2 linked regions of the Astyanax mexicanus genome follow. The protein of the gene in region 1 interacts with the protein of each later gene in a biochemical or structural test. Links are inferred from orthologs where the notes say so. Each region holds a gene or a part of one and is shown in the gene's direction. Other genes may lie near its edges. The genes, in order: dapk3 and pawr.

What was found.
Region 2: of the proteins of dapk3 (region 1) and pawr, one has a biochemical effect on the other in vitro, tested with the Homo sapiens proteins (2 studies listed by BioGRID). The link is inferred for Astyanax mexicanus from reciprocal best matches to the Homo sapiens genes DAPK3 and PAWR.

The regions. Positions count from the first base shown.
Region 1 is NC_064415.1:44,693,354-44,710,347, reverse strand, and holds the start of dapk3 (death-associated protein kinase 3), read left to right. Parts: upstream 1-9,716; 5' UTR 9,717-9,794; intron 9,795-11,309; 5' UTR 11,310-11,353; coding exon 11,354-11,415; intron 11,416-15,929; coding exon 15,930-16,290; intron 16,291-16,847; coding exon 16,848-16,977; intron 16,978-16,994. Other genes in the region: sppl2 (signal peptide peptidase-like 2), read right to left, coding at 1,453-1,534, 1,627-1,743, 2,740-2,836, 3,815-3,957, 4,160-4,299, 4,697-4,786, 5,660-5,842, 7,152-7,268 and 1 more. UniProt on the Homo sapiens protein: Serine/threonine kinase which is involved in the regulation of apoptosis, autophagy, transcription, translation and actin cytoskeleton reorganization. Involved in the regulation of smooth muscle contraction.
Region 2 is NC_064409.1:25,116,870-25,134,006, forward strand, and holds the start of pawr (PRKC apoptosis WT1 regulator protein), read left to right. Parts: upstream 1-8,671; 5' UTR 8,672-8,823; intron 8,824-12,063; 5' UTR 12,064-12,235; coding exon 12,236-12,721; intron 12,722-17,137. UniProt on the Homo sapiens protein: Pro-apoptotic protein capable of selectively inducing apoptosis in cancer cells, sensitizing the cells to diverse apoptotic stimuli and causing regression of tumors in animal models.

The DNA.
Region 1 (16,994 bases):
AGTGAAGTGTTTTGCAGGTTAAACATTTATTTTTGATCTTGTTCACAATCAGATCAAACAAGGACATACATAATAGACAAATTCAACTTAAATTACAATAATATTTTTTCTAATATACCAGCAAATGTCCTTTTTGTGATTTCCTCGTCGACAAAATTGTTCAACCTCTTAGTCACATACATTAGTACTTAGTACAACTTTCTTTGACAGTAATAATAGCCTTCAGATGTGAAATAAGAAGTGGCGAACACAACGGCCCGTTTCACATTTGGCAACAAACATTTTGATGATCCCCATGACTTAAATATTAGATAAATATTGTTAGGGATGAGTTGGTGTAACAAAAGTGGAACTTTTTTGAAAGGTGTGTGTCTCATTACATCTAGCGTACAACTAATACAATTTCAGAAAAAGAACATCATACTGAACGTAAAACATGGTGGTGGTAGTGTGATGGTCTGGGGCTGCTTTGCTGATTACCTGTACCTGAAGAAGTGAAGCAGTCCCAGTGCATGACTGACCCACCATCATGCTTCACAGAAGGCAAGGTGTTATTTTCTGTGTAAGCCTCGTTCTTCCTCCTCTAGACATATCGCTGAGCTACAGGCCCAAAGCATTCCAATATTGTCTCGTCGCTCCAGAGTACAGGTCACCAAAACCTTTGTGGTTTGTCCACATTGTTTTTAGCATACTGGAGTCAACTCTTCTTACACTTTGGGGGGGACTGGCCTGGGAGTTCTGACACAGAGGCCTTCATCTTGCAGCGTGGGCCTTATTTTCTGGGCCGAAACCTGAGTACCTCCCTCTGACAAGTCCTGTAGCAGTTTCTCAGCTGTCAGCTGGGGATTTTTCTCCACCTTTGGTTTCAGGTTCTGGACAGCAGTCGCCGACAGCATCCTCCTTCTGCCACGTCCAGGTAGTGTTTTCACTGTGCCTTCAAACTTGTGAATCATTGAAATGTGTCTCTTAAAATGTTCACCATGTTGCAAAGAGACCATTAACTGTCCAGAAGGAAAAGCTGAGTGTCTAAGTCCTTTAAAATCTGCCTAAATTGCCGATTGTTGTGGTTCTGTTCACATCTACAGGTGTTTTCAATACCTGAAAACACCTGATTGAAACATATGTTCTTGAGTGTGTTAATCTTAAAGGGGTTGAATACTTTTGTCAATGAGGAAATCACATAAAGGATGTTTGTATACTAGAAAAAAATGTCATAATTGAAGTTGCATTTGTCTATTATTTAATCTGATTGCGAACAAGTTAAAAAATAAATGTTAAACTTAGCGTGTTAGGTTTGTGTCCCATTACATATGGCATACAACTAACAATTTCCTAAAAAGAAAAACACTTTACTGCAATGGGGGTTAAATCATTTTAAACACAACTGTACAAACTGCTATCCCATCACTTGGTATGTCAGAATATATTGTGTAATGTTTTGAATGAACTCACTTTAAATGTTGGCAATCTGATAGTTTTCAGCATGTAGAGGCAAAATGCGATGCCCAGTGCATCCTGCAACACCCATGCCCACCTGCAACACACACACACACACAAAGCAGATAAGTATTACTGTATGTAGGTTTGTGTGTGTGAGAGAAAGGGAGAAGGAGAGAGTATACGTACTGGTCCTCATTTCTGAACACACCCCATGTGACGCTCACGCTCACACAGAATGCAGACAGCAGCAGCATTCGCACCTGTGGCCTCTTGTGACAATATGGCAGGTTATTCTCTGGAATCCTATTCAACACACAAATACCAACTTTCATCAATATTTCATCAATACAATAAATCTTCTCTTGCAGCAAATAACAAGTAATAGAATCTAGGGGGTGATGAGATCTTTTGCATGAGATTAAAACAGCACATTTTTCTCATTGGGTGTTAATGTGTCTCACGATACTTATATACAGGTAACCAAAAAAGTGATCATTTATTTTGGACAGCAAACAGCTGCACTGGTCTGCTCGAGTGACCCACTGTGCATGCGCACACTCACACACCTCTCTGTATTTGCTGACTTTAACACATTGTTCTGTTCCCACCCACATATTAACATATTTAAACTGCAGTGATGCAGAATCACAAACACAAATCACATGGAGGCAATGCGTTAAGATTTCAGAACCCTCACCAGGGGGATTATGAAAATAATTCTAAGGTCTCAAAATACTTATAGCTCATACAGGAGAGATGTTTTTTGGGTTTATGGTAAAACCAGCTGCAGTATTTGCATGCTGTTCTGTCTTTTACTAAATATGATACATCATACATTATTCATCATCAGAGTAAAAACTAATTGACATCCATCACAAGATGATTATTTAATATATATTTACCAATTAGTATGGTGTTAACTGCATGTGCATATTACACAATGTTCATTCATGCTCTTGTAAACATTGAGATTTCTAACACTGTAAAGCCCAAGTCAGGTGTGCACATTAAACCGGCTCAGGGTGAACAAAAGCCAAAGTGGAAATTTGCATAAAGTTGATCTAGTAGTTTCCCTATAATAGAGTCATATATGAACAAGGGAGTCAATACATTAGTGGGAAACATAGTATATCCCAGGTTTAGTGTGTGAAAAGTGCACAATACTGTCTATAAACAGGGACTAAAACACATAATATGCTTAAATCAGCACCTTTGGTCTGTACTTGTGAATTGATTTGTTGGTGGATTAGTGCTGTAGAGACATGGCTAAAATCCTGAACAGGCATTTCTGTCTCTCACCTGCATTTCCCAAATGGGATTCTGCGGACAAAAGGCCAGAGGCAGCTGTACAGACCCACAGAAGACGCCAGGCAGAAGATCACGATGATCATATACACTGCAAACACAACACACACACACACACACATTAGCAAGAACATGAACAACACAAAGGAGAAGGCCTGAGTAATTCAATTATTAATTAAAACAACATATATACCACCAAACACCACAATATTCTAAATCATTCAATAAAGAGTTATCAGCATCTGTGAGACAATCAGCATGTTGATTATAAGGCTATATATTACAGATCTGTTCTCCGCTATGTGCTCATGCGGTTACTACTACAATTTGCTGCAACATACAGTTAATTCAATACTTTGAGAGATATCAATAGAAAAGTACAGAAGTCAAAAGTAAAATCTTTTTTCCTGCAGTTGTTGTTGTTGTTATTGTTGCTGCTCTTCTTCTTCTTCTTATTATTATTATTACAAACAAAATATGCCGAAATAACCCAATACTTTCAACAACATGTACCTATTGGCACCATGCCTAATGCTAGGTGTGGGTATAAAGCCCCCCCTTTATTGAGCTGTAGAGCAGTGCAACTGTGTTTTGTTGTTCATACATCAATAGCTGGATGATACTGTAATAAGGTGAGGATGAGTTAGGGATTAGTTGAAAAGTTGTGGATGAGTTTTGGAAAGTTGGGGATGAGGATGGAGCTCATCTATCACAACCAATAAAGGAAATCATGCTAAATACAATTATTTTCTTCATTTTTTCAGAAATTTATTACCCTGAATTTTAAGAAAATCAATCAATTATCATTTAAAATTACCGTTTGTCAGTAACAGACAGCAACAAGCTATGCATTTTATCTACAGTAAACAAACTGATGAGGAAAATGGTTGTTTCACAGGGGTCACAGGTTTGACATGACAGATTAATGCAAGGGCCTTATGTATGTTACGCACTGATCAGATCCTAGTTAACATGATCTAATCAGATGCCATTTCAGTAGATAACGGCCCCGGATATCAGAGGTCTGCTGGTGTGTGTGTGTGTGTGTGGGGGGGGGGGGGGTGTTTACCCAAGTGATCGTAGAAAAGATACAGGAGCACCAGCATGGAGCAGCACATCACCACAAATACAGCAATCATGATAGGGGTAACGTCCACAGTTTCCTCATCCTGCTTCTCCGTACTGTCATCTCGCTTATGTTTCATGTAGCGTCTGTAAAACACACACAGAAACACTCAGGAACCTCACATATGAAACACACACACACCTTAAGGAATACTCATCTTCTACCACTTTAGTTACTTAATTTCTCAAACAGACATGATCTATACTGTAGTGGAGAAAGACCACAGCACAACCACGGGAGCTGGACATGCCTAATGTACAAACAAGGCTGTATATAAAGAGTACTTACTTCTTAATGTCCCTGCTGCCAGCCCAGTATCCTCCCACTGCCACTGTCCCTACTGCCATCAGGAAGATGATCACCATGTTGTAGTCCACCACTGGCTCATTGGGGGCATACATCGCGACCTGCCACTGCTCTCCAAAACTCTGTTAGGAACACATATGCCGTTATCTAGTGATGGTTCAAAAATGTGTTAGCACCTAAAGCAGCATTATGTGAAAATAGGTAATGTCTGCTTGTGGGCTCCCCCTACAGTTGGGAAGTGAAGCACTTTGAACCTCCACTTATGGACAAGCTTTACATATATATATACATTTTTTAGACAAGCTGAGAGATAAAGAATGGTCACTGACAGTGAAAAAAAGCATGTGGACTGAGGCACTAAAACCATTTCCACAAAGGACTTTTATGCAGGTTATGAAGAGTTATGCAGTTAGGATTTTTTCTCTTTTTTTAGTCTGTGTACTATCAACACAGATTTGATGCTATATAAAGCTGCTACATAATGTTGCTATAAACCTTTTTCACAAAAAGAAAGGTCACCTTGCTTATGTCCAGCATGTCAGCATAGCTCAGCAAAGCCACTGGGATATCAATCTCCTCATACTGCGTCTTGTTTCCAAAGGGCGGGATCTAAGAAAAAAAAAAAAAAAAAGTTACTCATAATCTTCAGTTTAAACGTCTGAACAGTGAAGAAGGTCTAGTAGAAAACTCACAATAATAGAGCAGTCAATTCAGTAACACCCACTTAACCATATCATAAAGGCCTTTACAGAAATCACAAAGTGTATAGTGTACATGCTCAGGGGCCAACACACAGTAAAACAAGACGACTGCTCCCAAACCTTGAACAGCCACCATATGTTCCTGTCAGTAGTTAAAACACACAGTCAGCCCTCATGGAGTGCACAAGTGTCTCAAATAGTCATCAAAATACTGAGTAGGTGTACTATATTTTGTACCAATTTCAAGAAGTGGCCCCGAAGCTTATCTCGGCCAAAGTAAACACAGCACATATGGATTTTACCCATAGTTACATATGAATCATTGGAAAGAATTAGCCAAAAGATCATAAAAAATGCTAAATATTGGTTATGATAAAATACAGATTATTATTTAGTAGAAAATAACACCATATACTATAGGGAAAATGTTCTTTCTAGAGTTTCAGTGGTTTTACTGTTGAGATCTTGTGAGCTAGTTTGAAGAACAAAGAATCATTAAACACTGTTTTTCATTCTAATATCAGAGATTTACTGAGTAGATAAGGTATTTTTCATAAAAAAAAAAAAAAAAAAAGAAAACTGGTGGGTGTATTTATTAGTTAATTAAACTGTAAATAGTCCCAGTAGAGAGAAAGGTAAATATTATTTTATTCAACACTGTTCAAGCAACACCTTGAAAAGCTAAATAACAGTTCTATATGAAATGCCTATTTACATTAATTCTTTGTAAACCGTTACCCTCACACCCATCTGCTACCCTCACACTCCCCAGAGTCCTCACCAGCCGGTCCTTGCTGACGATCAGCAGGCCTTTGGCTCCGTTAATCTGCGCCAGACGCACTTTCTCATAGAAGGTACAATTCCCACGCAGCACCATGGGGATCCGATTTGGGAAGCCGCCTTCCGGCACATCAGAGGCAGAACACAGCACTGAAGCTGTCAAGTCATACGCCAGCAGACGAGACTGAACAAACACACAGAAAATCAGTATATATAATATACATACACACCATACACTGATTAAGATCATAAATACAGGTACAGGAAATTAAGACCTGCCCTCAGATATAGTCAATTAGCCAAGACATGTCTGGCATCTTGGTCTTTCATGATAATTATGATAATTACATTTTTTACAATATATGAACATGACCTTAATGATTTATGTTGATCTCAATGTTGCCCATTGGGGCTTCTTAGTGCGACGAGCCCATAAACATTACTGATGTCCTTTGTTTTTACCACATTTTTCACACTATAAGGCACACTTCCAAACATCAGTGTGCATTATGAACAAATTCTACCAGTCAGGTGATGATTTACTAGCTGATGATTTACTAGCGCTAAACCCTGCTAACAGTGGCTAGCGCTGCTGCTAACACTCTGTTGACAATATTGGAAATCTAAGCTTACTGTGAATAAACTGAAGCACTTTACTCGCCCAAATTAACAGTTTTCATGAGAGCAATGTGTGTACATTACTGTGTAACACCCTTATTCCTTACTATTGTCATTTAAAATGTGCCTTGTTATCTGGTGTGCCTTATGTATAAAAATACACCAGAAAATATACAAGGAAATAGACATTCATTAATAGAGTGGCTTATAATACAGTATATCTCTGGAAAAAATAAAGAGAGCACCTCAGTTTCTGAATCAGATTCTCTTATTTATAGGTATATTATTGAGTAAAACGAACATTGTTTTTTTTATATATAAACTTCGGACAACATTTAATATTGCCAATTAGATCATCCATCTTCCTCTTGATTATATTCCAGATGTGTTCAATTTGGTAAAGTTAAAGAAACTTCTCATTTTTAAGTTGTTTTTTATTATTTTCCAGAACTGTATATATACAATTTTTTTCCAATTTTCTCCCCAATTTGTAAGGCTACCCACTTAGTACCCACCGGAGTCAGCTGGACCCCTCAGAGACCCTTGGCACGTTGTTATGCCTTAATATTCTTACTCATTAAAAGCTTACTGCTCTTTGAAAGGGTGTAACTGCATTCAAATACTAGTGTAAGATTATTATATGAGGGCATAAATGGTCTTAAAATGAAAATGTTATTGTTAAGCACAATCTTTTTGGGACATCATATCTGCAGGACTACTGGCATCTGCTGTATGATACTTTAATGTACAACAGGAGATGCTAAGCTAACACTGCTATTCCACTTAGCCACTCCTGCAATTAGCTGGCAATTAGTTTATGTTTGTGTTTACAGCAAGGTAAGCATGTGTATTTGTAGAGAAGTTGAATAACTTACTGCTTTATTAAGGTCCTGAGGTAGCCGAGCCCACTGAGAGTTGAAGAAGATGCAGTAATCCTTCCCTTTACTCTTTCCCCACTCACTAAAATGAGCCATGCCATATTCTCCCACAGCCTGCAGACGAGAACACAGCTAGCTGAACAAATTTACTTCACAATTAATAACACTGAATAAGTCAGTGGATCCTTAACAATTTATAACAGATACTAAAATGTAAACTTGCTCAATAATTTACAGTGGATAATACATAATCAGTAAGTAAACTAGTTAACTAAATAATTCACTAAACTTACAAACGGTAAAGTTCTTTGTTTCTGTGCGAATTTTTCATTCCACCTTAAATAGTGCAGCAGTCAGAGGATTATTTAAGGTGGAAAGGAAAACTGGAAAACCCTAACTTCAACTCCGTGTTAAGAGTATTTTATCAGACAGTCTTAATTCTCTTTTCGCCCTTCATAATATAATTAACTAAACATTATATATAAAGCTGTAAATCAGGTTTAAAGGTTTCGGGGCCTGAAGGCTTCATCCTGTCTCCTAGCGTTAGCATGTTAACAGGATGAGCTAACCTTCATCTAAACTAAAGCGAATCTGTGTTTATTTGTCCTTATCTACATATTTCCTTCAGCGTAACTGACCAGTAGACTGAACGTGTCTGTGCTGTGTGGTGTCAGTACCTGTTTAATGAACAGAGCTGTCCAGATGAGGCTCCGCATTAATCTCATACTGTCTTACTGTTGTTCTTCCTCCATCTGCACTGAGGCACGGCCACAGATCCCGATCCCGAGCTAACCGCGGCGTCTTATTGGTCCGATCCCTGCCCAGCGCCAGCACCTACGGGAGTGGCTCACGCAGCTGTCAGTCTGAAACGGGGCTCTTTAACACAGTGATATCTCAGTTTAATGATTGATTTACAGTAAATAAACAGATGTTAGGGGTTTAGAAACATAAATTTGCATAGTGCACTTTTATAAAAGGATAATTTATTGATAACTAAGAGTTAAAGCTCAATCTTACACTGTAAACTGAAGTTTGTGCCAAATGTTTGTGTCCTGTCCTCAGTTTTTCATGCACACCAGCCCCTCTAACCTGACTTTAAAAATATACAGAAATGTGATATGTTGAAAGTGGGTGTCTTTTATTCTAATAGGAATTATATTCAATGTAAATATATTCCACCGCAATTACTATTACGACTACAAATAATTATAATAACACGTAGATTATAGATAATGTTGCATTTGTGTACTGAAAACAGTATTAAATAATTTATTTGTAGTTTTAATTTCCTCTGTACAAAATGCAGCAACTGAGAATAGGCCTATCTAGTCATAATAGACTAAAAAATAGAACCATACTACCATATTCCTTGAATCAAATAAGGACATAAATATAATGAGAAACAGAAGAGTAAAAATGCAATTTTACAATATTTAATAAATATGGATGACAGGGATAAAACCAATAAAATCATAGCAGAAAGAAGATTGCGATTCATGAGGCCTTCTTATTTCCAGGAATTCTATTACTTTTTCTCTTAAATTTCTTGATTTTTTTCTTAGGCCATTAAGAAGAAATAAACATTGGGAAAATTGTAAAAAAAAAAAATCTGCTGTTAAGTATATATTATTTACCCAACAAAAGTATAATATTTGCAATATGCCAGACATGGGTCTGTACATGAAGAACCTTTTTGATTGACAGTAAACACAGCCTTGATAAAAATGCTACCTGCTAACAAATACAGCTTAAGACCAGCTGGTCACCCAAAAAAAAAAAAACACATCATGCTGGTCAAGAGCTGTTTAACGAGCTAGCCTACCAGCATAGGGTATGTTTTTTTTTGGATGACCAAAAAATTGGTCTTAAGCTGAATTTGTTACAATATCTACAATATCAAATGCAAATAACATAATATACACGTAATAATATGCTTAATATAGTAATCATTTTGCTAATGCTTGGGGGATATACACAGTTACATAAATATCTTAAAATACACACGTTGTAACAGTTTTAATAACTTTTGTATTAAAGGGTCCATGAGTTTAACACAATGTTTCATCCTTGTTTCAAAAGCAACAAAAGGGTCTTGCCTGAGAATTTACATTTATTCATACAAAACCTGGCCATTAAAAGTCTAAAATGTGTGATATATGCATTGGTACATTTATCTCTGTCATTTACCAAAAGACCAAATAATACATACATAAATAAACAATACTCTAGTAGTTACCTAAATAAACAATATTTTATATCAGTCTTATGGATAATGTTGTGCTTGTGAACTATTTCTTACTCTCTTTTTCTCTATGTAAAGCACTTTGAGCTGCACTGAGGTGCTACATAAATAATGTTTATTATTATTATATTATTAAAAAAGGTGCTTATTTTTTATCCTCTTTTATACATATTGACAATTTCAGGTAAATAACAAGATATAACATTGTGTTTTAAAGTGGTGTTTAAATGTTAGAAAATGTCTAATTATCTGGGTAGAGTTTGTGTATAGGTTTATACGACGAAGCTTTTTTATTGCAGCACGACTCCTGACGTCACCGCGGCGTTAATACCCGAGCGCGGCCGCTGGGCGGCGCTGGAGCGGAAACACCGCCCGCGGGGAATGCAGCTGTCCGGTCTGTGAGTACAGTATTTACATTTTATTCACATGTAAAGCTTTAAACAGATTAAATAACCCTGATGAAGACATGTATTAAGTTTATACAGTTATATGTTAAGTACAGGTTAGTGTGGAGAGTAAAATAAAGGATTCCCGGGTTTGTTTAAAGGCTCAGGAGGCTCTGAGATGTGGAGTTAACCTAGGTTAGCTAAGAAGCTAAAGTCAGCGTTAAAAGGCAGCGGGTTTTAGTGAATATTTAACTGAAGTTAAACCGCATTATCTCTCTACCTCTCTGTGTGTCTGTAACTGTGTATGAGAGCCGACCAGTGTTAGGGTTTAGTTTAACATGATTTGTGTAGTTAAGAAGTTCTGCTTCTTTTCAAATTATCCGTTCCACCTTAAATAGTGCAGCAGTTCTATGTTAACTGCAGGACCGTTTAAGGTGGAACTGACAATTCTTTTTAAACTCCAAAATAAACCTCGTTTAACAGAAAAAGTCTTTTACCAATTCACATCTGACCTTAATTAGAATATTAGTGAAATTGGAGACAATAAACATGTTATGAAATATAAATATCAGTCATTTTTTAAGCGATAAAGCTCACGTTTGTCTGTTCTGGATGAAGATGATGATGATGATGATGTAGCAGGATTGGTATTTGCACTCATTAAACACATTACTGATCCCCAAGACTCATGTCAGGGTCTGTTAAGCTCATTTTGGCTGAGTATAACTTATTTATTTCATACTTTAAGCTATTATTGTCCATATCTGGACTATTAAAAGGAATATTCCTTATTTAGAAGAAAGAAACATTTGAAAGTTAAATGTTTGTCAAACTATTAAAGGTGGGCAATAGGGGAGTATATATTTTTATTATAGTGATAAATGCAGATGAAGAGTTCATAAAACACTGATTATTAATAATTTCTCTTAATTTTGTAGGTTTTGCCAAACTATGTCCATAAGAAAACAGTGATTTAAATGGCTTGAGAAAACACCTTTAATTTTTTTTTTATTAAAATTAAGTTTTAGTTGTAGTTTCAAAGTGTTGACATTTACAGGTTTTTATATGGTTTTTATTTTTTTTTTTTTAAGAATGTTTTTAAAAAGTAATGGAAATTAGAAAAAAAATGTTTGATTATTGTTTTGGTTTAAAAAAAATAATTTAATGTTTAATTAATGTAAATCCGTCACATCTATTTGCATTCAACTATATCTGTAAATTCACACAATGAGAACAAAATGATGATTTAATGCTGTCTGGCTTTATTCAGACATATAATGCAGAATACGCAGAAATATTATTCAGCTAGTAAAACGTGACCTTTCAAAATGTTTAAAATTCATTTTAGGTGAGAAATATATTTGAGATTTTTTGGCCAAGTCAGTACTGATATATTACAGATTGTATGTTTATTTAGTGTACAGCAGTTTAGACACTCATAATGAGCCTATGATGAGCCTATGATGAACCTGTTTAGCCTACAGAAAGAGACATATTCAGGATGTCCTGTTATCTCCTCTGTTACAGGATTTGTTGACCCAAGTGTGGACTGTGGGTAAGGTCAGCGAGTCATGGCTGGCTTCAGGCAGGAGGATGTGGAGAAGTTCTATGAGATGGGGGAGGAGCTAGGCAGGTAAGACGCTACGTCGTTAGCTCTGATGAGTAAGTCATGACGGCTGTGAATTTGGTTAGATTAGTCAACATAGGCTGGGTTTTAATGGTGGGGTTGTGAAGTAGTGCCTGTAAGACAGAGTGATGTACATCAGTGACTTACAGTGATCTGCTAAAAGTGACACAGAGGTAATTATTGCTAGGTTTGTTAAAAAGAGTTTAAAAAAGTCTAAATAATATTAATTATTACATAATTAATCAAAGTTATGTACAAGTAATGTTTTTCCTTTTACCTTTTTGAAATCATGAACAGGATTATTGGCTATGTTCACAAAACCAGGCTAAAGTGACTCAAATTAGATTTTTTTGCTCAATGTGGCTCAGATTTTCTTTTTAAGGCTGTGTGCACGTGCCAAATGCGATTTTTTTATTTTTTTTTATTCAGATCTGAGCCACTTCTTTATGTGTTGCTAAATCGAACTTGCTTAACCTGAACCATGGACATGCTACATAAATGTGAACGGTCAAATTCATGTGTCTTTTTTTTCTTTTACGCATGCGCTACGTGTTTCTCTCTGGTACCCACACATCTCTTGGTGCAGCTATAGCTGCAAAAACAGCAAAAGCAAACCGCCTGGCCCTTTTTTCACCTCCTCGACCTGAGCATGAACTTCAGACCAGCTGTTTACTCTCCACTCCAGCAAAAGATGCTCCACATATGAACTGCTAAAGCATCATTTCCCTTTTTTTAAAACTACGAGTCGTTTATACATGTATTAGTGTGCGCGTGTGAGGCATTTCAGGGACAGATTCGTTCACATTACACACAGATACAGCTCACTTATATTTGTGTATGTGAACCGTCAAGACAGCCACATCTGATTTGAGCAATGGGCTCTAAATGTGGATATTTATTTTTTGTTTTTGCTATTGATAGTTCAGTGTTAGAAATTGCTATTATTTATTTTTTTGCTATTGGTAGTTCAGTGTTAGAAAACATTGATGTTCCATTGTAATTTAAAGAAGCTTACGATAAACTGCAACACCATAAGCAAAACAATATGTTCTGTTTGTTTGTTTGTGTTTTTATTTTAGAAAACCTTTCATAATTGGTAAATACCAACACATTAAAAATTCTGGGTAAAAGAAAAGTATATTATCTTTAAATGTAATTGTATTTATTACTACTACTTACTATTTAAGTAAATGCTGTGTTTTTAAGTATTGATACAGTATTGTTATACTACAATATATCAGTGTTTTCTTACACCCCTAGTAAGTATAGGACTGTTTCTTCAGTTGTGTGTTAGCAATGATCTTTGGATTGAAGTTTTTATATTAAACCAGATTCAGACTAATGCGGAAGAATGTCATACTGTTACGCTTTCTTTTGTTTGCTCTAAGTCAGCATAAACACTGTCGCGCTGCAGTGAAGCACAGTGTGTTTTAGAGCACTCTGTACTAACACACACACTGATGCGGCTGCGATAAAGATACTCTGCTTATTTTACCTTTACGTAAGTGCCTTCCTCTCACACTAGTGAGGAATTTTAATTCACACAAAGAATGAGTCATAAACACACACACACACAGTTTGCTTTCCTATAAAAGGCAGTGGAGCTTTAATGCAGGATGACATCATCTCTGTCTGTCTTTTTCTCAGCGTTTGCCAGAAAACAGCTGTGCTGCACACCAGATTACAGATTACTCAGACTGCAGGAACGTCTATCGTAGACTCTATAACAGTTCTCAGCCTCACTTAGTTTATATCCACAATTTATGACTTGCAGCATCATCAGGAGCGCTAACCAGCTGAGAAACTTTCTATGATCTCACACTTTTTTTAAAGGAGCAGTGCAGTGAAAAATCTGAGATTGAATTCAACCAATTCAACCAAGACATGTTGGGTATATAATGTGCTTCTTTAGTTTATATAGGAGAGGCTAACATAGCTTACCCCTGCAAATGCAAAAACACAACTTGTCTAGTACCTGTAAATGTATTGCCAAATGCCAATACAATAGATTTACATTTACATTTAAGGTATTTAGCAGACGCCCTTCTACAATAGCAACTTACAAAAGTGCTTTGTTTTTTACTTTGGGATGGGAATCTCTAGGCACCTTACAATTTGATTACGATTAAGAGGTCTGCAGTGTGATTTATAAAACGATTATTGGGCATCTTGATGCATCTTTTCTTTTATACAGCATTTTTTCCCCCTTGTTGCTTGACTGCTTGGTACTTTTAGGTACAGAATCTCTAACTATCCATAACAAATCCAGCTGTTTAATAGGCTCCCTGACACTGTTTTTGTTTATTTAAAAAATCCTAGTTATTTAAATTGATCAATAATTAATAAAAAAGAAATCCAGGATTAATGTTGTTGTGGTAATGGTAAGCTTCAGCCACAATATTAAAACCAGCTACAAGGAAAGCAGAAACAGAAGGTGATGTATAATGTTATAACTGACCAGTGTAATGTATATGCAGAGCTGGTTTTAATGTTGTGGTTGATCTGTGTAGTATTTTGCAAGGCAAATAATAGATAATTGCACATTTTAATAGTCTTTGTAAACTAATGTACTTTAGCTAGCTATATAAGTAAAATGACAAGACAGAGACCAAAAAAAGATTTAAAGGAGATTGAGATGTCTGAGTGGAAGTAAACAACTGTGGTCGTTGTGAACAGAGCTTAAAATTCTTCTGGTTGGAGTTGCATTGCACTCGGGAGGATATAATCCCATATCTGACCAGGACACGCAGATAGTATCAAAGCACTTTGGGCAAAAACACTAACAGTTTTCACTCCGGGTTGCAACACTTCTACTAGTTCCGCCTTTTACATTGTGTCATCTTTGCATTATGTTCCACCATCTTGGTCCCAGGAGAGAGAACAGTCAGGATGTCCGGATTCTTTTGGAACTTAAAGAATGGTGAGTCAAGATGAGCCGCACTGGAAGCTTGAAGATTTCTTGGTGCCAATCTGGCTTTGACGCATCAAATATAAAGGAGCTTGTCTGCTTTTGATTTTGTAGGCCAGCGTAAGGTTTTGGATCAGCAGCAGAAAGACAGTGGAGGGAGCGCAGGAAAGGAGTCACATAACTGAACTTCGGCAGAGGACTCTAGAGTAGATAAACCTTAACCTGCTGGCACCATCCCAATGCCAGGCCTTGGCTAGAGGGGTATAAATCCCCCCAGCATTGAGCTGTGTAGCAGTGGGACTGTGGTCTCTGGAATGATTGTGGTCCATCCAATACGCTTTTAGATGAGATGGTGATGATGTGGTTGGATGCTAATCATCCAGCATTCCTAACTAATGGTTTGAGCTCCACTCATCTTTACAGAATTGTTGTAATTCAGCCACATTGGAGGGTATTCGAGCATGAACTTTTTAAAGTCATGTCATAGCTTCTCAGTCGGATTCAGGTCAGGACTTTGACTAGGCCAGTCTTTATTTTGTTTTTTTCAGCCAATCAGAGGTGGACTTGCTGGTGTGTTTTGGATCATTGTCCTGCTGCAAAACCCAAGTTTGTTTCAGCTTGAGGTTTCGAACAGATGGTCGGACATTCTCCTTCAGGATCTTTTGGTAGACAGCAGAATTCATAGTTCAATTTATCACAGCAAGTCTTCCAGGCCCTGACACAGCAAAACAGCCCCAGACCATCACACTACCACCACCATGTTTTACTGTTGGTTGTTCTTTTTCTGGAATGCAGTGTTTCTTTTATGAGACGAGCTTTAATGTTCAGCTCAGCAGTGGTTTTAGTATAGGAACTTTGCCATGTAGGCCATTTTTGCCCAGTCTTTTTCTGATGGTGGAGGCATGAACACTGACCTTATCTGAGGCAATTGAGTCCAGCAGTTCTTTGGATGTTGTTGTGGGGTCTTTTGTGACCTCTTGGATGAGTCGTCGCTGCGCTCTTGCGGTAATTTTGGGCGGCCGGTCACTCCTTGGAAAGTTCACCACTGTTCCATGTCTTCTCCATTTGTGGACAATGTCTCTCACTGTGGTTCGCTGGATTCCCAAAGGTTTGGAAATGGCTTTATAACCCTTTCCAGACTGATAGATCTCAATTATCTTCTTTCTCAATTGTTCCTGAATTTCTTTGGATCTCGGCATGATGTGTAGCTTTTGGTGGACTTCACTTTGTCAGGCAGGTCCTATTTAAATGATGTCTTGATTAAGAAACGGGTGTGGTAATAATCAGGCCTGGGTGTGGCTAGAGACAGTGTACTCAGGTGTCAGAAACCACAGTGATGGTATGTTTTAACAAGGGGGCAATCACTTTTTCACACAGGGCCATGTAGGTTTGGATTTTTTTCTCCCTTAATAATAACCACCTTCATTTAAAAACAGCATTTTGTGTTTACCTGTGTTGTCTTTGACTAATATTTAAATTGGTTTGATGTTCCAAAACATTTGTGTGTGTCTGTGTGTGTCTGTGTGTGTCTGTGTGTGTCTGTGTGTGTCTGTGTGTGTCTGTGTGTGTCTGTGTGTGTCTGTGTGTGTCTGTGTGTGTGTTTCCTCCCCAGTGGTCAGTTCGCCATTGTCCGTAAGTGTCGTGAGAAAAGCACGGGTGCAGAGTATGCCGCCAAGTTTATCAAGAAACGCCGCCTGTCGTCCAGCCGACGTGGCGTGAGCCGGGAGGAGATCGAGCGAGAGGTGAACATCCTGAGGGAGATCCAGCACAGTAACATCATTACTCTGCACGACATCTTTGAGAACAAGACTGACGTCATCCTCATTCTGGAACTGGTGTCCGGTGGGGAGCTCTTCGACTTCCTGGCTGAGAAGGAGTCCCTGACTGAGGAGGAGGCCACACAGTTTCTCAAGCAGATCCTGGATGGAGTTCACTATCTGCACTCCAAACACATTGCCCACTTTGATCTCAAGGTAAGTAATGCACATTATTAATTAATGTACAAAATGTATAAGGTTTAGGTAGTGGACTTCAGATTATACGTGGACTGAATTTTCCTTTTCTTGTTTTTTTAGAATGTTGTCAGTTCACCAGTTGCCTTTCCAGGTGTTTGAAGCCAATTCTGCACCTTACTAGAATCAGTATATAGAACAGATTTCCCTTAGATTCCTTTAGTTCTGTTTATAAATAAGGGTTAATCTACAGTTACAGTAGATAGAGGAATCACGAGCACAATCAGTTGTGCTCGTACTGTTCTGTGAGGTGATCTATTCTGATTTATCCGGCTGAACTACTTAAAAAGTTCTTTGACTTATCAATGATGCTTCAGTTGATGGGGACCGAGACCACCTCAATTTGTCTGACAAAATGTTGGTCCTTTGTTCTTTGTTGATCTGCTTTTTCTTGGCTCAGACCAAACTAAAAAGTCCAAAGGTCTTTTCCAGAATGTCACTGTCATTTTATCTTATTGGAGGACCTTTTGTATATTGTCTGCATGGGTCTTGACCTGTTTCCTGATTTTGTGTTGCAGCCAGAGAACATCATGCTGCTGGATAAGAACGTTCCCAACCCCAGGATCAAGTTGATAGATTTTGGCATTGCTCACCAGATAAAAGCAGGAAATGAATTTAAAAACATCTTTGGGACTCCAGAGTTTGTTGGTAGGAGATTTTTAAAA
Region 2 (17,137 bases), on another chromosome or scaffold:
CATGTTGAAGATAAATGGCCTCTGTGTCACGTCATATTTATACCCCAGGGAAACAGGAAGTTGTGAATTACTAATTAAATGTTCCTACATACTCTGATCAACTTTGTAAACTACTGTAGAAGTGACAGAAATACTTTTATTAAATTTATTTCCTAAGAATTGTTAGGGGTGCCAATAATTGTGGAACAGGTGATTTTATGAAGAATAATTATTTCTTAGTCAGGGATTTTATTTCCCCCTTAAAATTTACTTGAGTAAAAGGTTGGACTTTACTTTTTTTTCCATCGTGGTCCTATATTATTTTGAACAAAACTCAATTTATGAGAAGCTAAAGAACACATCTTAACCAGGGGTGCCAATAATTATGGAGGGCACTGTATATGTGAAATGAAATAATTCCCAACAGATATTTAATTTAGAGGTGATACTGAATAGTTAAAAGAATATACTGAATAATAAGTCATTTTTGGGTTCTTAGTAATAAATAAATAGATAATGAATATAACAATCACTGTTTTTACAGTAAGAAATAATTCATAATGGATATTGAACTATTAAACTACAGTGCATATTAAATAAATGATAATATATGCAAATGATTCATACTGAGTAATAAATACATACTGAATGATGTAGATCAGCATTGTATCTGGTATTTTGGTGTGTAGTAATGGTGAAGGTGCTGGTGAGGGGGGAGGGGGGAGTGTGGGTGTACAGGGCTGTGCTGAGATTTGTACTGAAGGCTGGAATGCGGCTGTACAGGAAGTGCTTTACTCAAATCAACATTCCTCTCTTCCTGTTCCTGTAATAGAGCAGCAGCAGCAGGATATTACACATCTGCCTCTAAACCCTTCATCTTACCATCTCACAATCTCAGTGTGTGTTTCAGGTGCTGTATGTTAGCATGTTAGTGCACATATGTTATAATAACAGGCCTTAAAGTACAAACGAGTCCCCTTTTCCCAGTCCAACCCCTCAGCAGGGTGAGGAGGGCCATACAAACCCCAGAGCAAATAATTAACACCAAACATATCCTTCCGCTTGAGGATGCCTCAATAGGGTTTATCAATGCAGACATACTCTGGCCAGTCCATCTCCTTCACCTTTACAGATTTGTATGGGGGTGGTGAGGGGAGCTTGATAAACTAGTAGTTAGATGGGAACTGGGAATACTGGCCTTCACAGCTGAGCAGATGGCATCATGCAGCTGGCACTGTCACGGTGAAGTGCTGCAGGAAAGAAAGAATGGAGAAGGCCCAGGCCTTCATGCCAATGGTGTGTGTGTCTGTATGTACGTGTGTGTGTTTGATGAAGATGTTAAAATGCTATTTATCCAAATAAAGGTTTGTTTACTCTGATGTTTACAAGAACAGGGTGGTAATCCCACCACCTGCTATCTATAAAACTGAACAAATAGGTTGTACTTAAGCTGCTACACACACAAACACACACACAGGGTGCATTAAACAAGAGTAAATAAGCCAAAGAGTCAATTGGAAGAGCTACTATACATGCTAAACCGCTTTAAGGCTAAAGCTTTAGCATTGCCTTAGAAACACTCACTGGGTGGGTCCTAGTTGTGCCTGAATAACTAATGCTAATAACCAGGGTGTGAGTGTGCAGAGTGTAGTTTAGATAAAAGTGTGAAAGTTTAGTATACTCAAATATCCATGATACATACTCAGACTATGTCCTAATTGTGTCCTACACACTAACACAGGTTAGTTTACTAAATATTGTGTTCTAAATATTCTTTTTACTATTAGTAAGTGAAGAAGCACTGCTGTGCCAGCATATGTTTCTGTAGGTTCTTTTGCTGTTGGTGCCAGTGCACACATACAGTACAAGTCAAAAGTAAGGACACACCATAAATTAAGTGGGTTTTTTTTTTTTTTTTTTTTTTTTTAGATAAATACGAAATTCACAAACCAGAATATGTTTTATATTTTTTATATTCTATATTCTTCAAAGTAGTAATTCTTGCTTAGATGACAGCTTTGCACATCTTGGTATTTTCTCAGTCACATCTACAGTGGTATGAAAAAGTTTGCTCACCCCTGATAATTTTTTTAATGATTTTCCTTAATAAACCATTGGTTATTTGGATCAGGAATTTCAGTAAATATACCATACCATACCAGAGTTTCAGTAAATATACCATACCATATACCATCAGATGAACACAGTGATATTTGAGAAGTGAAATGAAGTTTATAGGATTTACAGAAAGTATGCAATAATTCTTTAAACAAAATTAGCCAGGCGCATAAATTTGGGCACACTTGTTAATTAACTACATTAGTCTCATAGCTCCAGTGCTAATTGTTTGGTGGGGTATAAGCTTTTATTATTTGTTAGTTAACTACATTAGCCTCATAGCTCCAGTGCTAATTGTTTGGTGGGGTAAAAGCTTTTATTAATTGTTAGTTAGCTACATTAGCCTCGTAGCTCCAGTGCTAATTGTTTGGTGGGCTATAAGCTTTTATCATTTCTTAGTTAGCTACATTAGCCTAATAGCTTCAGTGCTAATTGTTTGGTGGGGTATACACTTTTATTACTTGTTAGTTAACTACATTAGCCTTATAGCTCCAGTGCTAATTGTTTGGTGGGGTATACACTTTTATTACTTGTTAGTTAACTACATTAGCCTTATAGCTCCAGTGCTAATTGTTTGGTGGGGTATACACTTTTATTACTTGTTAGTTAACTACATTAGCCTCGTAGCTCCAGTGCTAATTGTTTGGTGGGCTATAAGCTTTTATAATTTCTTAGTTAGCTACATTAGCCTAATAGCTTCAGTGCTAATTGTTTGGTGGAGTATAAGCTTGTATTTCAGAGCTTACCGGTGGGATATACATTTCTACTACTTGTTAGCATCTTTAGCCTTGTAGCTAAAGTATAGCAGGTGGTGTGTTGTTATTGAGTGGAGTTAGAACAGCTGGTGGGACTGTAGTGAACAGCTTTATTCTGTTGGATACTGCAGTAATTCATTAGCGGACACTGTTCAGGCGCTGAGTGGTGAGAGAACACTCCAGGTTCTTTTTGTCTTCATCTGGTAGGCTGCTATTATTCTCGTTCTGTACACACACTCACACACACACTCACTCACTCTTGAGTCTGTGGTCCAGATGTGCTGCAGCTGGCGCTGGTATGGATTACTGGGCTGAACTGGAGGTATAAACGATATGAAAGCTGAGCCGCTGATGTCAAACAGGATGTCTGCTGATTTATAGCTGTGCTTCATGTATGTAGACACATGTACAGGAGTACAGTATTGGGGCACCTCATATTGATTGATTCTTCTAGACCTGTCTACCAATTTTCCTAGCAACCTAGTAAGTGTGTTTGATGGCCAATGTGTGCGTAGATGTGTGCATTCCCTCTCGCACTGTTTAAATTTGCGATAAAATATGCATTTTTTTAATATTGGGCCGATAATTGTCTGTTCTGCGATGTAGTGTAAAATAAATACTTTTGTACACAGCAGTCTTTCTCAATACTTAATGCTGTAATGTAGCTAACCTAAATCACGTGGTCTAGCTATGAGCATACTGGCCAGTGTTTAACCTCTCTCACACAGAATAACACCTCACAACTTATACAGGTGTGTGCAGCTGTCCCCTGAGGTAACACTTTGTGATTGATTTACTGTAAATACTGCTGTCAGTGTCACTGAAACTCTATGTGACATCTCAGTTCAGTGTTCAGTGCTGTTAATAATTGGTCTCAGATGATGTGCAGAGTTGTAGAGTTGCCCTTTTGCCCTGAGTATGTGATTAATAATAAACTAGCTGAGGTGTGCAAATTGGATAATCTGTGAATAATACGTTTAACAACAACAAAAAAATAACATGTACCCAGTTTTATGCCTCTCAAGCCTTATTCAGAAGGGATTCGTTTCTCAGGGGGTCCTGGGGTAATTTTCTCTTTTATGAGGGGTCTTTTTATTGCCGTCCGGAATGTACATGTGTGTGTTTTTCTCAGACGTACACTGAGAAAGTTACAGGCTGAAAACCCCTTTTTTCGTTTCCACGGAGATCCATGTAAACACATCAGCAAGTGAAAATGGAGGAGCTACTGAACACAGACTGTACAGTGGGCAAGACTGTAACTAGACATGGATATACTTTAGAGTGGTCAGAGGTGAAATAAGTTTTGATAGAGTCATGATGCCCCTCCCATCCAGGAGGGGAAAAAAACACAGCCTGCCCACAGTAAAAACTGATTGACTCACAGACTCTTTGCAGAGAACAGGCCAATCAGAACCCTCTCTGTTTTGCATGCGGTTCATAAATATGCACACAAGGGGAGCTCCTTTCTCCCTTTCCCTCTCTTTCACTCATGCGATTATGGAAAAAAGTCTGTGTCGCGCTGTGTGCGCGTTTGTGTTCACACTTGGGCCACTAGTTCTAGATCTAGTTCTCGAGATTTTTTCTGACTTGCGGGCATCGGGAAGCCATTATTGATATGCTCCCGCAACTTTCAGGAAACTTGGGAAGTCTGGTGTGTACTTGCTGTTTGGCCATAGGTTTGTGCATCGTTTGCATTGTAAATGTAACGGTTCACATACTTCCCTGTGTGCAACATGTGTTAGTGGAGGCTTCCACTAGAGGGCAGCTCAGGCATTAGATGATTGATGGACAAAACACCCCACTGGCTCCACCTCGACTTTATTTCTGCTGCATTTTCTGCGAAATGAGGACATATCTGACACATATATTATCTGTTGCAATGCAACTCAAGTCTGATCAACCAGATTAGAACTCATGCAACTTTTTGATCAAGCATATAAAAAATAAATTTCTGTAGTAGATAGGAAAATGGAGGACAACAGTGAGGGAGGGGTTCAGTGGTAGGATTGTGAGGTACTAGACCTCATAAATATCTGTACGGGTGTCTCTTGTAATTTGGCATTGCCGCAGCATAAAAGGAAACTAAAAAGCTTTAAAAAAAAAAGGAGGCAAACCATAGCTTCTTAGATTCTGGCTAGAAGGAAACTGAAACTTCACATGAAGCACTGTTATGTAGCATCTGCACATTACACAGCGCAGACCAGTGTAAGCTATAGGTCAAATTAAAAAGAAATTGTGTACCCATACAAGTTACATTTACTAGCATTTTATTTGACACAACTAATATAAATATAATTGCATTTTACATATTTTTTGTCTTAAGAAGAACAAGTGCGTTTAATTGCAGATAATCAGAATATTGTTGTGATTAATCTGATTTTTATTGATCGACACCCCAGTACAGACTAAAATAAGGTGATTTTGGCCACTATATGACCTGCTGTGTGAATGAAACCTTAGAGGCTCAAATACACTAAATGTCCAAATGTTTGTTGTGGACACACCTTCTCTTTCTAGTGAATCCATTCTAATACGTTTTTTAAGTAATGTTTATTTGTGCTCATTGCTAACACAGATGCAGATCCAAAGCTTTTCTTGACCCTTTAGAGAAGTACTTCAATAGAATAGGTCTATTCTAGAGTCAAATGTTTTTAAATTCCAGATGTATAAAACATCTTTTAAAAATAATGTGTATTTTTTTAAGTGAATTGGCTACTCTGAGAAAGCCAACGCTGACATACAAACGACTTTTAAAGTGTGTAGAAAACTAACTGATTATTTGAAACTGAATTATTTTTTTAGAAAGGTATGAATCTATTAATTCAGCTTCAGATTCTGTTTCAGGATCCTCTCCAGAACTGTGTTTATAAGGTAAATGGTGATTGTGAGGAGTGAGGGCGGTGTGAGAAAGGGGAAAACCTGTTGGGCAGCTTTACCCGTCGGCTGCTGTCTCCAGGGTGATCCAGCAGGGCAGTGGGTTTAGTGCCCGGCGAGGGCGGGACTACACACTTATCTGCTCCTTTAGAAAGCCGATTGTTGGAATGCTAAGTGGGCTGCAGCTGAAAGGCGAGCCGGGCCGGGCTGGACTGAAAGCCCAGGCTCTGGAGAGCTGTTCTCCTCAGCCTTTCTGAAACCGGGCAGAAAAATGCTAAACATGCAGAATCATGACCTCACTCTTTAGAACACAGGCTATTTATAGAGCACACTCTTTACAACAACCCCTATACTGCTTTATGTGTTAGCCCTTACAAAGAGAATGCTAACAACCCTAAAATTTCATTTTTACACCTTCACCTTCAGTCTACAGTTTCTTACAGTTTCTTACATTTGATTGCAAAGAGTATAAACCCAAAATATTTCATATTTTATTTGCCCAACTTCATTTAATTAATTAGTATTAATATACTTCACATTGATTTCTGCATTTTAGCACCAAAACTCCGACTAATGCCTTTTATAATTTTACTGTGCAGAAAGAAGTCGAAGCCTTATCTTCATCATGTCCAGAAGCACCGTCCACTTCTCTGATGAGGAATATTGGATGAACATCTTTTAAACAGGCTATTGGCTGTTCAATGGGTTCATATGTCTTTGTAAATCTACCCCAAGGAACAAACGGCCACACTGACACTCTCATGGTCTCTTCAGGCATTTCTGGGCAGGCCAAGCCCTTAAAGAACCAGTCTGATAAAGCGTGTGAGGCGGGGCCAGAGTGGAAGAGCCGTTTCCAGCAGGTTAACACTCGTTAGGCCTGCTCTTTCATGTGCTGAAGATGCCTGAGGCCAGGACAACACTCACTGGTAATGAAAATTGCAGCATTATTATAGACTATGAAAACAGCTTGCATTCAGCTAACGCTGCTAGCACTGATTACCCAATCCAGCCCAAGCTTCAGTTGTCTTACCAGTGTACACTTTCCTGCACCAATAACATCACACCATTTCACAGGCCTCCAGGAGCAGTGACAAGAACGTTCAACATTTATTAACACTGCAAAACACCTCACATTGCATCTCTTCACACAGATGCCATTACAACCCCCACACTGTAATATATGCAGTGCTGAAGGAAAGTAACTGGACAAAGTATTAATGTTGAATATGCTGCAAACCTGGCATGCAGTTCTGTCTCAGACAGATATGTAAATGATTACAGGTGAGGACTAATTAGATGCTGGATTTTACCACAAGAGGGCATAAAATGTTTTCCCTTGCTACCCTATAAGAAGGCTCCTAGCAGCTACCTTTGGGTAGTTACCTCTTGGTGAGAGTTTGTTGACTGCTAGACATGCCTCTACAACATGGTAAGCGCTTCAATCCTGCCATTGCTAAAGAGCGACACACTGCCCCAACTGCTGGTGTAATAATCTGGGGAGCATCACATGCAACAGTTAGTCACCCCTAGTAGTGAAACGAGGAACACTTACAGCTCAGCTAAATGCAGGACATCCTGCAGACACACATGTTGCTTACTCTCATGGCTTTTAAATTGCCCTTTTTCAGCAGGATAATGCTCACCCACACACAGCAAGGGTTTCCCAGAAATGTCTTCACAAAATATGCTACACCTTGTCCTGTCCGGACCTGAATTTATGAGAGCACCAATCTAGCATTTACGGGAGCAGCTGGCATGGCAGCTTTAGCAACCTACAAGTATAGGGCAGGATCTACTGGTCCAGCTGCATCATCTGTGGGTAAAGGTGCAGGATGTCATTCGGAACCTGTATACCTACATGTTCAACCGTATCATCATTACAATCACACAGATAAGTATTCTGCTAGCATAAAACATAGCAACACCTAAACAAACACCTAGCAACACCTATACCATAGCACACCTTAGCAACTGCCCAGCAACACCTTAGCAACACCTTACTATACACCTTACTAATACTTTAGCAACCAATTTTTATACCAAGGCAATATCTTACCAAACATCAAGCAAACACTTAGCAAAACCATTGCAACCACCAAAAAAAATATATCCATTCCAAATAAAAATATTGTCATTTAGAGCATTTATTGGCAGAAAATAAGAAATGGCTGCAATAACAAAAAAGATGCAGAGCTTTTAGACCTCAAATAATGCAAAGAAAACATGTTCATATTCATAAAAAAAAATCAATATTTGGTAAATTAACCCTGGTTTTTAATCACAGTTTTAATGCCTCTTGACATGTTTATCTACACCAGTCTTACACACTGCTTTTGGATTCAAGCAATTCAGCTTGGTTTTATGTCTTCAATGTGATCATCCATCTTCCTCTTGATTATAGTCCAGATGTCTGGTTAAATCATAGAAACTAATATTTTAAAAGTGGTCCTTTTTTTTTCAAGAGCTGTATGTTCAAATATTTGCTGACACCCTTCTAATGAACACTACATTTAGCTACTTACCACTCAATGCTAAAAGAGGTGTGCAAATGCACACAGCACAGGTTGCCTAGACCCTGTACATTGCTGCCAATAGAAAAGGACTGTCTGGAGCAAATAAACTAATATAACTAAAATATATATAATCAAATCCTCAGAGCAATGAGTCCAGAATCTAGTAGGAAGTATTCTCTGAACAGTAGAGACAGTATAAATCTATATATATATATATATTTATACAATATATAAAATGTACTCTAAAAAGGAGAATAAACTATTTTTTATTACTCTTGATTTTAGTAGAAACAGTGGATAAACAGCTGTCTCAATACTTTTGGCCATAAGATTTATGTCAAGATCATTTTTTCAACGTTAAGCACAAAACAGCCAATCGTAGCGGAGGAGGGCGTGGCCTGTCGGAGTACGGGTGTGGTGTAAAGCTTTGATCGAACTTTTCGTGTGCGCTCGTGGGTTTCCGTAAAGTGACCGGGAACGCGCGCGCGCTCGAGAGAGAGAGAGAGAGAGCGAGAGAGACTTACTTGGGGAAAGTGAGAGACCGGACTGGTTTACCGTGTGTGTGTCTGCGGGACGGAGAGCAGGTGAGTTACCGGGGCTTGTCTCGTGGTTTAGACGGGTTGGGGGCAGTGTTTCCCGTGGCAGACTGTGGGACGGAGCGCTGCAGTCTCTCCACCGATCCTGGAGCTCCACCTGGGCACAGCCTGCCCCACAGCCCCCGCACAGCGCCCTCAGCCCGGACTCAGCGAGAGGGGGGACCGCTGACTGTGGAGCTGTGTGTGTGTGTGTGTGTGTGTGTGTGTGTGTGTGTGTGTGTGTGTGTGTGTGTGTGTGTGTGTGTTTTGTAAACCTTTAGTGACAACCAACAGGTTAGTGAGAGAATGTGTGTGTGTTGGTAGGTAAGAGAATGTGAAGTTTTAAGACAGCAAGTATGTGTGTTTAGTGGCTGAAGATATGTTTTAACTTCTGTGAAAGAGAGAGATAGAGATAGATAGAGACAGAGTGTGTGTGTGTGTGTGTGTGTGTGTGTGTGTGTGTGTGTGTGTGTGTGTGTGTGATGTTTGTTTGAGTTTAATGCCAACAAGTGTGTGTGTTTGAGAGTTTTGGAATGTGGACCTGTGTTGTGTGTGTGTGTGTATGCGTGTGCCTGTGTGTGTGTTTTCATTTTAAGCATGCATGGCACAATAGAAAACATTTGGTATTAGTTGCTTAATTGAAATTTAAGCATCAGGTAATGCCTGGAATTTGAAAATTGACTAAAATTGATCCGATATTAGAGTATCAACTGATATTGGAATCTGAAATGATACAAGACTGGTATTTAAGCATCACCTGATACAAACAGATATTAGTATTTCAGAATCGAGAGACACAACATGATGTGATATATAAGTATTGTCTAATACCTGTCTGATATTAGACTGTATGAATACTGATCCAATATTGGTTCGCATTTATCCCATATTGGGACGTGATTATCGGTTGATTTTCAGTCTTTGAATTTATATTGGAATTTGGGTATCATCTGTTACTGATCCGCAAGTGGTTTTCTGATCTGATATTGAAATTAGCGTATAATTCAATTCTGGCCCAATATCTGTAATTAAGTTACATATCAGTCTGATATTGGAATTTTAGAATTAGTCTAGTTTAATATGGAGTGTTTGATAGCAGTTTTTTAAATCTACTTTTTACCTGCTTATTGCATATTGGCCAGTTTTGCGTGATCTGATATCTGATTCCAGAATTATCCTCTAATATCTGATCTGTGTCAGACTGGGTATCAGATCTGTGCCATCTACAGTGTTTACCGATAGTTAAGTGTGTATGTGTGTGTTTGCGTGTGTATTATATATACACTATATTGCCAAAAGTATCCACTCGATTGAATTGCGTTTGGTGCTGTAAGGCTTGGAGATGCTCAGCCATATACTGCTGCTCAGCTCTCTACTAAGGCCACATGAAGTTGAGAGGTCTGTACTGATTGGTTCCTTTGTGCACTGTGTTCTTCAGCATCCGCTGACCCCATTCTGTTCAATTTGTTTCCAGTTGCTTCTATTTTGTTATAATATCACAGTTGGCTGTGGAATATTTAGTAATGAAGAAATTTCACAATTGGACACAGGTGCTGCATTCTATCACATTACCACACTGGAATTAACTGAGCTCCTGAGAGAGACCGATTTTTTCACTAATGTTTGTAGAAGCAGTCTACATGCCTTTATACACCTGTGATTGTGATTGGAACCTGTGTTCAATGATTTGGATGGGTGAGAGTATACTTTTGGCATTATAGTGCATACAGTATTTATTTTGTTTTTGCTTTTTTGTCATACTGATATTTTTCTGATTATCAAACAAACATTATATCACACAAAGTTAACCTGAGTAAGTATAAAAAGCACTTTTAAAATAATAATGTCATTTATTAAAGGAAAACTGTCCAAACCAATCTAGCCCTGTGTGAAAAAGTGTTTGCTCCCTAAACCTAATTTCTTCTAATAACATGGTTGGGCCACCCTTGGCGGCAACAACTGCAATCAAGCTTTACCGATTACTGGCTATGAATCTTTCACTTCTCTTTTTGGTGTTTGGAATTTTGTTCAACTTTTGTTTGCAGAATTGTTTTATTTCAGCCACATTGAAGAATTTTCGAGCATAAACAGCCTGTTTAAGGTCATCCATAGCATCTCAATCAAGCTTTGACTAGGCCATTCCAAAACTGTAATTTAAGCAATTCAGAGGTGGACTTGTTAATTGTCCTGCTGCAGAACCCAAATACGCCTAAGCTTGAGGTCATGAAATGATGCCCAGACATCATCTTTTAGGATTTTCTGGTAAACAGCAGAATTCCAGGTTACATCTATTACAGCAAGTTGTCCAGGACCTGAAGCAGAAAAGCAACCCAGACCATCACACTAACACCACCATGTTTTACATTAAGCATGATGTTCATTTTCTGAAATTATGTGTTAGTTTTTACGCGAGATGTAACAGGACACACACCTTCCAAAAAGTTCCACGTCAGTCCAAATAATATTTACCCAAAATCCTGGGGATCATCAAAATGTTTTATATGAAATGGGCCATTTTGTTTTTTTGGTCAGCAATGTTTTTTGCCCTGGAACTCTCCCAGTTTCCTTATTATTAATGAATCATTAACACTGACCTTAACGGAGGCAAGTAAGACCTGCAGTTCTTTAACTGTTGTTCTGGGTTCTTTTGTAACCTCCTGGATGAGTTGTCCATGCCCTTTTTATAATAATTTTGGTCAGCTGGTCCCCCCTGGGAAGGTTCACCTGTGTTTTATGTTTTCTTAATTTTTGTGAATAATAGCTCTCACTGTGGTTCGCTGGAGTCCCAAAGCCTTAGAAATGATTGTGTAACCTTTTCCAGACTGATAGATGAACAATGACTTTGTTTTCTGATCTGTTTTTGAATTTCTTCAGATTGGGTCATAATATATTGCTTTTTGATATCTTTTGTTTGCTTCATTTTTTCAAACAGGTTCTATTTAAGTGATTTCATGATTGTATAGATCTGGCAGTAACCAGGCCTGGTTGTGGTTTGTAAAATTGAAGACAGCTTTCCAAAAAGTGTGATTAATCACAGTTATTTTATGGGGTGGAAGGGTTGACAAAAAATGCCAAAACAAAAGAAGTCTGAAAGGGGGCAAATACTTTTTCCCACCACTGTATGTGTGTTTACTGTGATCATGTGACCATCACAGTGTGTTTATCTCCAGTTGGCTGCTGTGTGTGTAATCAGTGACAGCAGACTGTGTGTTTGTGTGTATGTATGTGTGTGCATGTGTGTGTTTCCAGGCTTCCCTTTTCTGCTCCTGTTACTGTGTGGAGGAATGTGGCGTTCCTGATCCAGAGAGGAAGGTGAAGTCCGTCCTGCTTAATTTTTTTCGGAGCTGAAAACAAAGCAGAAGCGAAACCTTCTGAGCCAGGAAAAGCCAGCAAAAAGAACCGGTCCGAAAGAGGGACGAGCATGGCATCCGGCGGGTTCAAAGCCAATGCTGCCACGGATTTCTTGGAGGAGTGGAAGGCTAAGCGAGAGAAGATGAGGGCCAAGATGCTGGGGGACATTGCCGCGGCGACCGGGCAGTGCCCACCTTCCGGCCTGCAGGTCACGGGCAGCACCGGCACCAAACCCCCAGAACCGAGCAACAACGGAAACTCTGCGGCCGTGAACTGCGTGGCCTATCCGGTTGTTCGGTCTTCCTCCTCTTCTGCTCTGAGGAGGCCCGAGGATGATCCCAACTCCAGGCCAGCCGAGACGCCTATTAAAAAGGAGCCCAGCCCCCCTGCTGCCACCGCCTGCCCGGACAGCGATAAGGAGAGCCCCCCGCACGGGAAAGGCAAGGAGAAGAAAAGCTCTGGACCCAGTGCCAGAAAGGGAAAAGGTCAAATAGAGAAACGGAAGCTGCGGGAAAAGAGGAGGTCAACCGGGGTCGTCAGCATACCGTCAAATGAGGTAAGTTTAACCTGCTTTATGTTATTGGCCTGAAACTCTTGGCCTTGAGTGTGTCTGGTTTCAGTTATTTGTGTAAATGGCTTTGTAAAGTTCTGGGCCACACAAACGGAAGCTTACAAAGTCCTAAGCTAAAATAATGGGATTGTAGTTCTGGGCAACAGTAACAGAGATTTTGCTGGGTCTGGGCAATATTGTATGATTTATGAACTGCTGGGCTGCACACAGGGGGGTTTGGGAAGCTTTTGGACTAAGTTAAAGGAGTTTGTAAAGTTCTGGGCCACAGTAAGGGACATGGATGGAGAAATGTTAAATACCTACTTCAGAAATACAATGTCCCATTCCTCTGCACTCACTTTGCGATCCCTGTGGCCAAAGAATGTACAATTGTGCAGAACTTTGCAAAACATCTCTTACAGTGTGTGCCAGGAATACTCCATAGAAGGCTTATATTACTACCCACACTAGACAGTGCAGTGGGGGAAATAATAATGGTGACCGGCGGCGTCTGGCTAGAATTATCCATGTGAACAGCGACTGACAGAAATCACATCCACATTCAATGCAGGAGCCCTCACCAGCCTATCCCACAAATCAGTGCTGTGTTCTTTAACTTGCTTGGGACCTGTTTAAAGCCGTGCTTGTCTGTATGTAAATATAGAAATCCATTATTTTATTATTTTCATTGTTTTGAAAAATCTGTAAGATTCACAGTGTTGTGTTTCAGGCAGTGGTTTACTATTTTTTAAAGAAAGTATTAGGTGTGCTTTTCGTCCTTGCATTCCTTTGCTGTGCCAGGTCAGATTTAGCCCAGATCACCTCAATTCATCACAGTTGTGTAACCCAAGTGGAAAAATAAGGAGTGTTGCGTACAGTGCAATCTAGCTGTCAGACTGAGATCCAGCATTAAACCTCACATCATCGCTCAGACCCACAGGCTTCCTTTACATAATGCCTGCCAGAATTGGGCCTTAGTCTGCATCTTCCCTGTCTGCTCCCTTAAAATGCCTTCTAAATAATTACGAAATGAAAATAAAGACATCACGGTTATCCTGCCTTGTTTACAGACTTAAGGCATGAGTTTACAGGATCAGGGTTTTTATTACCTTTTAAGAGGTGAAGTTGTGCATTTGTGGCCTAAAGTGAGGCAAGAGCATCATTACTCTCTGAATGTAACACTATAGAATCTGTTCAGATGTGTCAGTGGCCATATAGGTATATTAATTTTGATCAGATAGACCTTCTTCTCAGAGCCAGAAATTTCATTATGAGACTTTCTTGCCTTTGGGGCAACTTTTACCCAAGGGTTTTATGTCTTGCTGCCTGTGGGGAAGCTTCTGTTGGCGGTTTGAGACACTTTAACTTTAAGGCCACAGGGAAACGTCTTATCTATGAAGAATAATAGGTGTTGATCCTCAGTTCACCCTAAGGGGCAATTTCTACCTAAGGCATTAATTTGTGGAGTTTGTTTTGTAAAAATAATTTTCAGCTTGATCGCACTCTGCAATACCTGCAAGGGCGCAATAACTCCAAAAATGTAATAAGACACTTAAAAACACCATCACCCTGTTGAAATTACCCACGATATCCAATCTGAAGAAACTAGCAAAGAGGATAAAACTAGCAAGAGCGCAGATCCAGACACAGGCCAGCAGCCCCTGCTACCTTAAAAGCCATAAAAAAGATTTTACAGTAAAAATAATGTTCAAAGCTCCGGATATGCTCTATTAGAGGCTAGTATGGTTGCATTTTTTGTAGAATTTGGAACCATTTTAGTCCCTTACACCTAAAGTCTATGGGGAAGTTGCCATGTGCCTGAAGGTAGGGTTTCCAGACCTTTACCCAATAAATGCAGCTTCTGTTGTAGAGCATGAGGCGCTTAAACCTTCACACTATGACCTCATTGAAGGCTCTTCATTGTGAGTCTCTCAGGCCTGTGCTGCAGTTGGCTGCCTGGTGTTCGTTTATGAGGTGATAAGGTCTTTCACCTTTAAGGTAGGTTCTACTGGACAATTTTACACTTAGATTATTGGGCTTAAAATGGCCAGCTTTTATTTGTCTGATGAAAGGGCTTTTAGGCCTTTATCCTTAAGACCTGTAGGCCAGTGTCTGCTGAATAATGAAGCGTTAAGACCTTCCACCTACCAGTTAGCTTCTATTGAAAACAGTTGGGGTTGCATTTTGGGTGCTAAGGACTTCTGCCTATGGGGATTTCTCTACTGGAGGCTATTAGGGTTGCATTTTTGGCAGCAATTTCTTTCTCTGAGACCTGAAGCCTGTTGGTAATTTTCTGTGGCATTTGTGCTTCCTTTAGTTTGAGAGTGATAGACTACAGGTGCTAAAACCTTCTGCTTTTTGAGATGTTTCTACTGGAGACAGTTTAGGTTTCATTTCTCCAAATTTGGAACTATTTCTGCCCCTAAGCTTAAATTGTAGGCAGTAGTTTGGGGCAGCTTCTATGTGCCTGAAGGAAGAGTTTCCGGGCCTGTCTTAAACGATAACAGCTTCTGTTGTAGGGCAAAGGTGCTAAAACCTTCACTGTTTGGGTCAGCAACTGTATGCCTCATTGAGGACTCTTGAATTGTGAGGCTCACAGACCTGCAGCCTATGGTGCAGTTGGCTGCTACAAGTTTGTGGTGCTAAGGCCCTCCTTCTTCAAGGTAGGTTCTACTGGGAATAAGGTTGTATGTTGGGTTACATTGCATTAGGTCTGCAAAATGTGGAACCATTCTGTCCCTAAGACCTGAACTGTACATGGTACTTTCTGCTCTGGATGTTTGTTGATAAAAAGCTAAGGGCTTCTGCCTAACGTAAAGCTTCTGGTAGAGGCTATTAGGGCTGCATTCTTGTAAAATATGGAACCATTTCTATCCAAAATACCTAATGTCCTTGAGACAGCTTCTGCTTAACTAGGCACCTCCTGCTTCCTATGGGGTAGCTTTTACTGGTGCTTTAGCATTTCTTTACAAATTAAGAACATTTCTTTCCCAAATGCCTGAGGCATGTGGGTCAGTTTCTGCAGAATATGGGCTAGCTTTCTTTGGAGTAAGTTTAGTTGGTGGCTATTAGCGTTGCATTTATGTGAAATATAGGAACATTTCTGTCCTTAAGGCCTGAAGCCTATGGGACTGTTGTGTTGAATGTTTTTCTTTTGAGGTGATATCCTTCGACCATCAAGGCAGCTTTTGTTAGAGACTGTTAGGGTTTCATTAGTACAAAAAATGTGACTATTTCTGTCACTAAGACCCAAATCTTAGGGGGCAGATTCTGTTGAATGTTTGTTCATGAGGTGCTTCCACCTTCCGCCAACAAAGGTAGATTTTGCTTGTGGCTTGGATTGTTGCAATTTAAAAAAAATCAGGACTGTCACTTAAGCATGAAGTCTATGGAACAGCTTAATTTACTGTATGAGGGTGCAGTACTACGGGGTAGTTTCTACTGGATGTTTATTTATGAGGTGCTAAGATCTTCCACCTTTGGTGTGGATTATTTTCAAGGCATTTATCCAGCCGTAAGAACTAAATCCTATAGGACAGTTTCTGTGGCATTTGGGATGCCTTCACTTTCTGCTGTGGCCACCCTCCCATTAGTAGCTGCTACTTAAGGCTATTAAGATTACATATCTGTAAGATTTGGGAGCAGTTTCTGCTGAACATCTGTTTATGAGGTGCTAAAGCCTTCCACTTCTGGTGTAGCTGCTACTGGGGTCAATCAGGGCTGCATTTTTTCGCAATTTGGGCCATTTCTGTCCCTCAGACCTGAAGCATATTGAGCAGTCTCTGCTGGAGTCTACCCAGCATCTTTCTCGCATGAGCACATCCTGTCATTACCTGCTCTCTGTGGCAGTCTTAAGTAGTTTGGGAACTGGGCACGGGCCAGGACCTAATGTTAGGGTTTCAGAGGGAGACTAAGCCGTGCCAAGCAAGCACATGCATGCCCTCGTAACTGCAGGAATGAAAATGGTGTGGCGGCTGGTTATCATGTTTCTGGAGTCTTTTGTTTGCTTTGGTTTTTCTCCATATTAGTGGGACTGAGACAATATGTCTGTACATGGAATGTGGGAGACTGAGAACATGGATTGGTTTGGGGTGACTTTGGATATGTTCGCTTACTGTTGGAGGAAATGTGCGTGTGGAGGTATTTGGACTGAACTGAGTGTATGTGTGTTTTCTTGCATGTTTCCTTGTCTTAAAGTCATGCCTCTGTGGTTCCTGTACTGTGTTCTAGTGTGTTTGCGGGTTTGTGTGTGTGTGTGTGTGTGTTTGTGTGTGTGCGCGCACGTGTGTGTTTTATAAGCTGCAGTGAGTTATTGGGGCCCTTGTGGACCCTCACCGAACGAGAGAGGAGCTTCTGTCAGCATGGCTGGCCTGACTCTCGCCTCCGTCAGCAGAATAGAAGAGAGATTATTATCAGTGCCAG